Linked DNA regions of Rattus norvegicus. The protein of the gene in region 1 interacts with the protein of each later gene in a pairwise test. Links are inferred from orthologs where the notes say so. Each region holds a gene or a part of one and is shown on either strand. Other genes may lie near its edges.

Region 1 (3,600 bases):
ATGTGCCCCCCTTCATAGAATTGTAAGTAAAGGCTGCAGAATAAGGAATACCATAAGCTTTCATAAATTACACTGAGAAGAGAAATCGGCTTAGGACAGATTTGTGATCAAGGAAAACCATTCATTGTAGGTCAGGTCCAAGGATGAAGACAGTGTGCTCTATGGTAAAGCGAGGCCATGGGAAACTGTTGCTTTGAACTTATAATGAGCTTACAGAATGAAACACTGCTCTGAACTTACTATAGACATCCTTCTGTAACTCCCTTTTGTGTAACATTTTTTCTGTGAGGTAATTTTATAAAGAACTTTCGTCTAAGAAGGCATAAAAAGGTGGAAAGAAAAAATAAAGTATGGCTTTTTGCGGTTTTGCCCCATTCACCAAATGTATATACATGTATATATGTATGTATACTTGTACATACGTATGTAGTATATGTGTATGCATGTAAGTATGCACGTGCACTTGTGAAATTGATGAGACAGATGTTTAGGCCCAGCCAAACTGTGTGCGTGTATACGTGTGCATGCCTGACTTTCTTTCTTTCTTCTTCCTTCCCTATGAAATTGCCCAAAGTAATCAGCTTTTGGCTCCCAAAACAGTAAGAGAGAGTTAGAAGGCCAGAGGTCATCAGCCTTTGGCTTTTGGCCGATGCTGTTCAGAACCTGAATGTCAGGGCTGGCCCCAGCAATATAGTATAGCACTTTTATTTCTAAGTATACAGACCAAAGAATTGAAAGCAGGATCTGGAAGAGTATATCCACATTTACAGTAGCATTAGTCATAGTAGCTAAAGCACAGACGTAATCCAACTGCCCAGCAACAGATAACAGTAAGTGAAATGCAGAATATACATACATACATTCTGTGGGATATTTGGCCTGAAACAGGAAGGAAACCCTATCATGTGCTACAGCATGGGCAAACACTGAGAACATTATGTTAAATGAAATAAAGCAGTCATAAAGATACACAATTCTGCTTATATGAGGTAAATAATAGTACTCAAAATAAAGAAAGGGGGCTGGAGAGTTAGAGAAATGGCTGCTCTTCCAGAGGTCTGAGGTTCAATTCTAAGCATACACATGGCAATTCACAAATGGCTGTAGCTCTAGTTCCAGCAGATACGATGCCCTCTTCTGGCCTCTATGGGCACTGCATGCATGTAGTGCATTTACATGCATGTAGGCAAAATACCATATACATAAATAAATCTAATACTTTAAATTAAAAAACAATCATAAAAAGTACAATGGTGCTTATTAAGGGCTTGAGTAGGTAGGGAATGGGAAGTTTATAAGAGTTATAAAAATGCTACTAGTAATTGTTGCATATTTTAATTGTATTTCAGTGTCATTGAGCCATATATAAAAATTGTGAATATGGCAAACTATTATATGTATTTTACAATTAAAGATTTACAAAGTAAACTGAGGTAGTACTGTTTATAAATACATTTTACAGACAAGAAAGGAAATAAAAGATATCCGGCAACTCCAGACAAAGGCTGGCCTGTGTTTCCCAAATACTGGGATTAAAGGCGCATGCCACTGCTCAAATTACATCTTTCAATATTAATAAATTGGCTTTATGGAAAATGCTTTCTCAAAATCCAGTTATCTATAGACAGTGTTTCTATATGCCACTTAAGCCCATTCCAGCTCTTACACGATTAGATACTAAATATGAACAAAGAATTTACTTGTTCTAATGTAAAACAACAAAACAGAGCACTTGCTAAGGCAGTGGGATTAATATACTCACAAACTCTAAAAGTGCTTAGGCTATGTTTAGTTAAAGTGCTCTTAAAGAAGGAAACTGTGGCCCAGAGAAAGGCTAAATGAGCTGTGTGGGAAGCTATAGGTACCTAGCGAAATCAGAGAAGGTAAAAACAAGCTCCAAGAGTTAGGCCTACTGCTGTTCCATGACATTTGGACACGCCGAAAAACTTTGGCTCTTGGTTCCACAGGGCAGAGACACCAAAGTTTCTTCCAATCTGATCATTACTGAAAGCTATCTGTGCTCTGCACACATCAGGTGTCTTCATACTAGTTTAAATGTTAATATAGTTAAAAACTGTTTAATTACAATACAGTTACACTTTACTAGAAACTTTTCAAACCAGGCATGGTGGCCTAACCCTGTAATCCCAGCATCATGGCTGTAGGCAGGAAACTGTCAAAGCACACAGCAACAAGAAGGAGGCAAAAGCTAACGCAATTACCCATGTGTAACAAGCCGGGCACACTCTGTAAGATTGTATCCAGTTTCCATTTGAAGTCTTTATCATCTATATTTCCTTTGAAGGCTACAAAAATTGTAGAATCCTCCAAAATACTATCACTTTTTGTGTCATCATCTTCTAGTCCAGAGTCAAACTCCACCTCTGAGTCTCCCATTGTTGATGAACACAAGGAAGTATAGATGTCTTCAAAGTTTGGAAGGTCATCCAAAACCATGGTGTATTAGTCCAGAAGTATATGCAAAGTGAACAGTAAGAAAACCTTCAAAAAAAAAAAAAAGAGGAGAGGATGCAGAGTATTATAACATCATTACATATTCAACATATCATTTTAGTAAATATCTAAACATCTATACTTCTACAAAAGATGCAATTTATTTACTAAATAAAATTTTCTTTCGTAATGCCATTTGCTACATTTTTGGTAAGACTAGAATATTGGGAGGAATATACAAAGTGTCACAGGAGAATGAACGGACCTGAGTGTTCGCAGCACACACCTAAAGTCTCAGCAGGGACATCACAAGTTGAGCACACCTGGGCTGCAGAGTTCAGTTCTGGTCTCAAACAACAGCACCCAGAAAATCCTTTATAAAATAATTATACTTCCTCTCCAGCTGCATTTTAAAAATTCTAATAACATTAAAAGTAAACAAATAATATAAAGATTTTTTTAAGGCTAAAAAAGCTGCTGCTTAGCGGGAGAAAGACCAAGTCTTGAGAAGGCCTACAAACTGTGGGTATTTAGCAACCAATTCAAAGTAGGAACAGAAAGAAAAATAACCTAATGATATATGCCAGGGTCTTGGTAAAACAAGAATAAGCCAAACCAAACTCAGTAGCTGGAAAGCCATAACAGACTGATGAGATGGTTAAGCAGTGAATGCAATTTCTAAGCCTGGGCACCTGAGACTGTCTCAAAAAACATAGGAGGACTGGTGAGATGGCTTAGCAGGCAACTGCGACTGCTACCAAGCTTGATGCTAAGTTTGCTCTCTGAGATCCATATTGTGGAAGGAGAGAATTAAACTGCAAGTTGTTGTCTAACTTAAAACACACACTAAGCCCATTCACACAAACAATAAGTAAATACATGTTTAGACATTTTTTTTAAAAAAAGGAAAGACAAAATAAATGTTAGGTGTTAATAAAATAGATTAAAACAAAAATATAAAAGATTAATGAAACGAAGAGTCCTTTGATAACCAAATTAACCAAAATAAATAGACACAAATTAAGAAAATTAGGTGGCTAAAGGTACAGCTCAGTTGATATAGAGCTTGCCTAACATGCACAGAGCCCGGAGTTGATCCCCAGCACTGCATAAAGCAGGCACAGTGATACAAACCTGTAATTCCAG
Region 2 (7,325 bases), on another chromosome or scaffold:
ACATTAGGCCGGTCCGCTGAGAAGATGTTGATGGCAATGAGCAAGGCATACTCTGCATCGTCTAGGCCCAGCCGACGCATAGCCCGAGAGAACTCAAAGATGGGATTGATGAACTCCACCTGCAAGCCTGCAAGAGCGGCCCCAGCACAGCTTCACACCTCACCCTGGTCCCAGGGCACTCACACGGGAAGGAGGAACAGCCAGTGACAGCTACTCCGCCTTCCTCCCCATAGGACCATGTGACTGTTACATAGTAGCCATGCCACCAAGACAGCGCCCATACCCTTCCTTCCACACACACTGGAACCTCATCCTCTCAGGTCCCCCCATCTGCCCTCAGGAGGGCGGAGGAAAGGCACTGTGAACCCTTAGGTAGTTCCCACAGCTCTAATATGCTATGATTCACTCATGGACTGTTAAGTGTACCTACTGTGTGCCAGGCCTTGGAGAAGAGTATTTACTGCCATCACACCCAACCCCTTCTCTATAAAGGACAATATATTCTAGGCTACTCTGGCCTGCAGTGAGACCCCAAGAAAGCAAAACAAAACCATGTAGGCAGGTTCCAGGCAAGATAGGAGTTGTCACCCAGTTCTAAGCAAGGGACAGTGAATGCTGGTCCCTGATGCTGGACTGTGCTGATGGGCACAGACTCAGCAAGGCACCCAGTGCCTGGGAGAGACGATCGACAAAGACAGAGGAGAATGGAGGCCAGGTCCTGTCCCAGCAGACGGAATACGGGAGCTGACAAGCTGGCATGGCACTTGCGTGCTGTGGGGGACAGATGTGATGGGAGGGTAGTAGCAGAGGGCCCGGGGCCAGGCAGTGAAGGAGCTTGGGTAGGAAGCCGAAGATCCTTTCCAGTCCCACCTTCCAAGGCCTGAATGCCTGGGGCTCCGTGGGGTTCCTTCAAGCCTGGCTGCAGGGCCTTTGCCCAGGCTGGATCACAGGGAAAACACACTTTTTTCCCTAAATCTGCCCTGCTAGTAAGCCACACTGAAAGAATCCTAGGACTCTTCTTGTGTAGTAGAAGAGTGGAAGTGGGTGCCTAAAAATACTGAGAGGCACCCAAGGTGTCCTGGGAAGCCGAAAGCTGAGGGAGAAAAGTTGTTCGCATTGGCTGGCCATGGGCAGGGGCCCTGTCCCACCATCAGACAGGTGGCCAGATGAGCTCCCCATGAGACAATCAGCAGCCTGTGCTTCTTCCTGATCTCCTGCCAGAAGGCCAGGGGACAGCAAAGCCTCCCCATGCATCTGGTCCTGCTAAACATGATCTTTCTCTTGCCAGTGCCTGATCTGGAGGTCCGACAGGGGGCAGAAACCCTAACACTGAGCCAGTGCCTTCCACAGACCTGCACGGTGGAAGTCGTCCTTGCTGTAGGTGAAGTCCTTCAGGAACGTGATGCACTCTGTCTCGTGGTTGTAGCGTCTGGCTGTCTCTAGCAACATGATCTGGAGGTGACAAGGTACAGGGCTCTTCAGCTGCCCCAGGTCAAATGTGCCAAGACCAACTGGCTGCCACCCAGACATTCTTAGCTTTCCTTTCTCCAACTTTACCACCCACTGCCCCCACCCAAGGACATTAACCACACATTATTGTGAGGTACAAGAGTTTTGATTCTTTTAGCACTTAGAACTTTATGCACAGTTGACTCTCAAACTTAAGTTATCCTTGAGTTGGCTCAAATATCCATTCCCTTCAAGTCTCTGGGGCGTATTTCCTCTTTGACAGTCCATCCCATAGTCTCCATTACTCCCACCTCAGCTCACTTCCCTTTCCCCCCGTGGCTGGCTCACTGGAGGCTCCAGATGGCCACACCCCACGAGGGTTAGGATGTCCCTGGACTACATGCAGCTCTGACCTCTGTCCTAGAGCCTAGTTCTCGTTATTAGTACCTCGATGGTGGATGCCTTCAGGAGGGCGATCTGGTCCTCCCGGCCCAGCTGCAGGAACCCTGGCACCTGCTTGGCGAAGTCCACGATCTCCTGGACTGAGATGATGGCTAGCTCAGTGAAGTGGGCAAAGCGTTGCTGACGAGCGTCTCGGGACTGAGGGTCTGCACCCAAGGGCCAGGGCTGGGACACAAAAGGCCAGGGTCACGTGGGAACTCGTGTGCCCCAAGAAACCCTCCCTAGCCTGGGTGGGCTCTGCCCACTGGGCCGGGCGGGGCGATACCGTGACTTTAGGCTGGTCGGAGAAAGATCGCTTGTTGCACTGCAGCTGCGCGGCAACTAACTGTTGGATCATCAGCTCCTGAGCCGCTGTCAGCTGGATGCCCTCTCCTTCCCCGGAGCCCTGGCTACTTGCTTCCGAAGTGCCAGGGGAGGCTGCAGGCCGGGCTGAGCTACCGGATGCTGGCTCAGTCGGGGGCGGTGGCTGCTGCTGTTGCTGCTTCTGAATCTTTTTCTTCCGAATCTGCTCCTCAGAAAGCACGCCTGCAGGAAAGACAGCCTCAGTGGTGGGACCCACCCTCACTTACTCCTCCCCGTGACGAGGACCCACGCTCTGTCTAGCCCCGCCCCTGCACTCACACTGCTCCCGCATGCCAGCCTCCTTGCACTTGCGCAGTCTGCAGAGCTGGCACTTGCGCCGCATGAAGGCATCCATCTGGCAGGTTCCGCTGCCCCGACAGGCATAGCGCCCGGCCCCACCATGGACCACGCTACGCCGGAAGAAGCCTTTGCAGCCTTCACAACTGAGCACATTGTAGTGGAAGCCCGAGGCCTTGTCCCCGCACACGCGGCACAGCTCATGGCCCAGCATCTTCGGGGCCGGACCCTTCTTCCGCTTGCGCTCAGGTTCATCCTCTGGCTCTAAGATGACTTGGGGTGAGCAGATGCCATGAGAGATAGCGACAAAGAGAAACAGCAGCCTGGGAACAGGCCATGGGAAGTCCCGAAGCGAGGGTGAGAGGACAGGGCTGCAACGCCAAGGGAAAGATCTGCAGGTCGGCAGGCTCCCAAGAATGAGTCGGAGGTGTCAGGGGGAAGAGGAAGGAAAAGCGAACCGAAAGACAGGGGCCACCGTCTCCCCACCCTTCCCTCACAACGTCCCACACCCCTGTTCCTGTCTCCCTGTCTCACCCACGATGTAGGCAGAGCTGGACCCTTCAGAGCCTGGAGGTGGATCAGTCTCCTGTCCCTCCTCCTTAATAGTGGGTGAAGTGGAGGAGGTACTGGGCTGGGGAGAACCATTCCCTAGGAGAAGGAAGAGGGAACAGTGAGCTTCTCTTACACTGTGGGAGGGGCCAGGTAGGGAAAACCCATCACTCACCAGGCAAGGGAGTGTCCAGAGAACTTGTGGGGGAAGACATAGTGGGTCACGAAGCAGCCTGCTGGACATAGGGGACCCAGCCAATTACAGAGTGTCTCTCCTTCCAATGCTCAAGGGCTCTCGAAACATGATCCCATGCAGCTCAGGCTAAACGAACTATGTGGCTGAACATCTTGAACCACCTCCAAAACCCTGGAACACACTACCCTACGCTGTCTTGGGATATTCCCCACACTCCTGCCTCAGTCTCTCAAGTGCTGGCATCACAGCACTGTGCCACTATACCTCAGTGTTTTTACTTCTATACTGAGCCCCCACTGCCAGCCCTAGTCCCTTATAAACATCACCCTGAACATCCCCAACCACTTCTGCTCCAACCCACTCACTGCTCCCTCCACCTCTCTATGATTCATGACCTCCCATGACAACTCCCGCCCCTCTAACACTAAGAGAGCCCAACAACTCTAATTCCTCTTCTTTGGTGAGCACCAACTGTGCTCTTACCATATAGGTGATCCTAACTTTGTCCCGCCTCTCCCATCAGGTCGCAACCATTACCCTCCTACCACAGGCTTCTTCAAGGCTTTAACCCACCTCAATACAGACCCCAGACCCTACCCATCCTATCAGGTCCCTGGTCCCGCCCCTTCTCACACTGGGGCAGATACCCAGATTTAGCCCCGCCCCTCCAACTCCCCAAAAGCCAATCATAGGTCTTCGTTGTGCCACGCCCTCCACGCCTCTGCCCACTCCCCCAGTCCCCTCAACAACAATCCAGGCCCCGCCCCAAGAATCAAGAAAGCCTTCAATCACGGGTTTTATCTACAGCATGCCTCCCGCCCATGTGCGTCCCGCCCTCGCCCACCAACATAGGCTTCCCCTACGCCACGCCCCGTGGAGTCACGCCCACCTCGTTCCAGGCCCCGCCCCTCTCCGTGCACCAGGGGGAGGCGGGGCTCATGACTGCACCGGCGATCGTGAGGGGGTCGCAGGAGGGGGTCTCCTACTTCGTTACCCTGGAAATGGCTGTGGGAGGCGGGAGCTGCGACAAAGTAAGGGAAGGAGGCGCGCGTTAAGCTGGACCCGCAAAGATCCGCGTACCGGTCCCAACCCCACCCGCCCTGCCGCCTGGTGCACTTGCCTCTGTGTCCGCACCGGTGATTGCTCCTCCACAGCACTTCAGAAGTAACTTCAGAAGCCTGGGAGTAGCTCGGAGCAACAGCGCTTGCTGAGCGAAAAGCAAAAGTAACTTCGCCACTTCTTCCGGCAACCCCGCTGCGCGTCACTTCCGGAAGTAGGAGGGCCGGGAAAGGTGACAGACTTCCGGTCTGCCTAGGCGCCACCGAATGAGATGCCTTGGCCGGAAGTGGGACACCGGAAGTTTATTTCTTCTGGTAGTTCCCCTCTGGGACTCAGAAAAAAGTTCCGGAAAGTTCTTTTGTTTCTTTAAACACATGACTAACAAAGCAAGTTGTTTCCCTTTTTGATTAGTCTAAAGTTCTCTACGTTTGTAGAAGTGCTGCATGGTTGGTTTTTATTTTGGTTTTGATTTTGAGACAGGATCTCATATTCAAAGGGGTGGCCTTGAACTTCTGAGCCAACTGCTTCCACCTCCCCATTGTTGCAGAAGCACATCCACTTACAGCCCAGTATATTGGTTCTAAATAGGTTAAATCTGGAGATGTCATGATGGTTGCAGGATGATTTTAAGCTTAAAATGGAGGCACGAGGGCTCTTCATACCTTGAACTTCTCCAGCTCAGAGGTTGTGCTGCCCTACCCCAGCTGCCCGCCCTTCCCTCTATAATCCAGTCGTTTTGAATACTGGGTTCTTTTTTCGCCTACCCTTATTTATTCCCCTGGCTCACCTCTCTCCCCTTCTCCTTACATGTCCAGGCTCTGGCGCTCGCTCTCGCGCTCGCTCTCTCTCTCTCTCTCTCTCTCTTTCTCTCTAACATTTTATGTAAGTACTCCCTGTCTTCAGACACATCAAAAAAGGGTGTCGGATTCCGTTACAGATGGTTGTGAGCCATGCTATAGTTGCTGGGAATTGAACTCAGGACCTCTGGAAGAGCAGTCAGTGCTCTTATTCAACCCAACTCTGGACTCTCTTGATGTGCCTGCGTCTGGAACTTTTATATATAAGAAGTTATTTTTTCATTCAGCTTCGTGATAGGAAGAAGTAAATATAAAAAGGCAAATTGGGTGCAATTGCATGCCTGCAATAATCAAACAGACCAAAGCCAGAGGATTGCGTTTAGTTGGAGGCCAAGCTGAGCTAGGTAGTAAGACAGGTCATCAGCTCAATATAAATAAACAAGTAGCCTATGCCCCTCTCCCATAAAAGTGATAATACCAGCTTTTTCACAAAAGATAGAAATACTTGTGTGGACCTCAGATGGAAAAGATTCAGAGATTTGTTTCTCCCCAACTCCGACTTGTCAACAGTTGAGAGAATCTTTATTAAGCGCAAATGCTTGCTTTTACTTAACTTTTGTTGCTGTTGGTCTTGGTTTTGTTGTTGTTGTTTTGTTTTGTTTTGTTTTGCTTGTATATTTTTTTGAAACAGAGTTTCTTTGTGTAGCCTTGGCTGTCCTAGAACTACTTCTGTAGACCAGACTGGCCTCCAACTCATAAGAGAGTTGGCCAAGGCCTCTGCCTCCCATGTGCTAGGATTAAAAGCACTTACTGCCACTACCTGGTTTACACCGCCCCCCACCTTTTTCAAAGACATGGTCTCACCATTCTAGCTATCCTAGAACTCTCTTTGTAGACCAGGTTGGCCTCCAACTCAGAGATCCTCCTGCCTCTGCCTCTTGAGTCCTGGGATTAAAAATGCCATGCCATGGTTAGTTAATCTAACGAATTCTTACAAAGTTGAGGCTAGAGCCCACACTACCTCAGTCACACACAAAATCTATCTACTCCTGAGACCCAGCCACCAACCCATGCTTTTGTTCAGATAAGTGTTAGGTCTCAAAGGAACCCTGGGAATATGGCTGAGGTGCATATTAATATATCAAAGTGAACTCTGGGCACCAGTCTCTCTTAGTATCACCAATGCCTGTTACTATATAGTTACCCTACCCTCAACCTTTCCCGTCCCTGAGCATCACTTCTCTTCCTCCAAGATTCTCTTTCCTATATAATCCAGCTGTTTTGGCTACATGTTCCTTAGCTCTCTTGGTTCTCTTTGTGTCCTGGTTCCCCCTTTCTTCCTCTCTCACCCCTGACCCCATGGCCCAACTTATTCTGTAGGCCCAGGTCAGTCTGGACTCTTGCAGATGCCTCTGGATGTTCTCCTCCTTATACCTACAATAAACCTTCTCAACCATACCTGGGAGCTGTCAAGTCCTCATTGTTCTTCATTCAATAAGTAAGCATATATATACTTATATGTGTGTTTATGTTTACATACGTGTCACTAGTAAACTGTCACGTGCTGTTTGAATTCACTGAGATGCTGGCCCTGGAAGCAGGACATATGACTTAGTGTCCTCTAGGACCCCTTGCCTGAGGTTGGACTGGTTCCCTGGGCCCTCTGAAACAGGGAAAGGATATCACCTCCCCAAAGCAAATGACTCAACCACTTTTATCCCCGTATGTGTGCATGAGTGTAGTGAGAATTCTGGAATTTTGGTTTTTTAAAAACACAGAGATATTACACAAAAATATTTTTTTTGTTTTAATCCCAGGTGTGGGGATATGGGGCTGCTTTGAAACAGGTGACTGATTTGCCTCGTGCCCTAGCAGAGGCATGGTTTTGCCAGCTGCAGATAGTCTCTGCAGATTGTATGATGTTTAGATCTGGGAACTTTTCTGTATATCGATGCTAGGGCCCCCAGAGGTGGATTGTTGGTTGGTTCCTGTTAGTGGCATTTGTTAAGTAGTCCTGCGCAACAAAGACATTAGATATCCTGAGTGCGAAGGTCAAACTTGCCCCAAGGAACTCAACGCCCCAATCAGCAGGAAGTCGACTAGCAATAAGTTTGACCCCTTTCTGACTCCTGACTTAATTCAGGGATCTCTTTCCTTTCCTATCTATCCTTTTT

What was found.
Region 2: the proteins of Ncoa6 (region 1) and Nr1h2 interact in a two-hybrid assay, tested with the Homo sapiens proteins (2 studies listed by BioGRID). The link is inferred for Rattus norvegicus from reciprocal best matches to the Homo sapiens genes NCOA6 and NR1H2.

What each region holds. Positions count from the first base shown.
Region 1 is NC_086021.1:164,389,319-164,392,918, forward strand, and holds the start of Ncoa6 (nuclear receptor coactivator 6), read right to left. Parts: upstream 2,458-3,600; coding exon 2,223-2,457; intron 1-2,222. UniProt on the Homo sapiens protein: Nuclear receptor coactivator that directly binds nuclear receptors and stimulates the transcriptional activities in a hormone-dependent fashion. Coactivates expression in an agonist- and AF2-dependent manner.
Region 2 is NC_086019.1:104,179,309-104,186,633, forward strand, and holds the start of Nr1h2 (oxysterols receptor LXR-beta), read right to left. Parts: upstream 4,556-7,325; 5' UTR 4,416-4,555; intron 4,317-4,415; 5' UTR 4,185-4,316; intron 3,336-4,184; exon of another isoform or gene 3,333-3,335; 5' UTR 3,315-3,332; coding exon 3,275-3,314; intron 3,199-3,274; coding exon 3,085-3,198; intron 2,922-3,084; exon of another isoform or gene 2,824-2,921; coding exon 2,533-2,823; intron 2,437-2,532; coding exon 2,177-2,436; intron 2,077-2,176; coding exon 1,897-2,076; intron 1,453-1,896; coding exon 1,353-1,452; intron 128-1,352; coding exon 1-127. UniProt on the Homo sapiens protein: Nuclear receptor that exhibits a ligand-dependent transcriptional activation activity. Binds preferentially to double-stranded oligonucleotide direct repeats having the consensus half-site sequence 5'-AGGTCA-3' and 4-nt spacing (DR-4).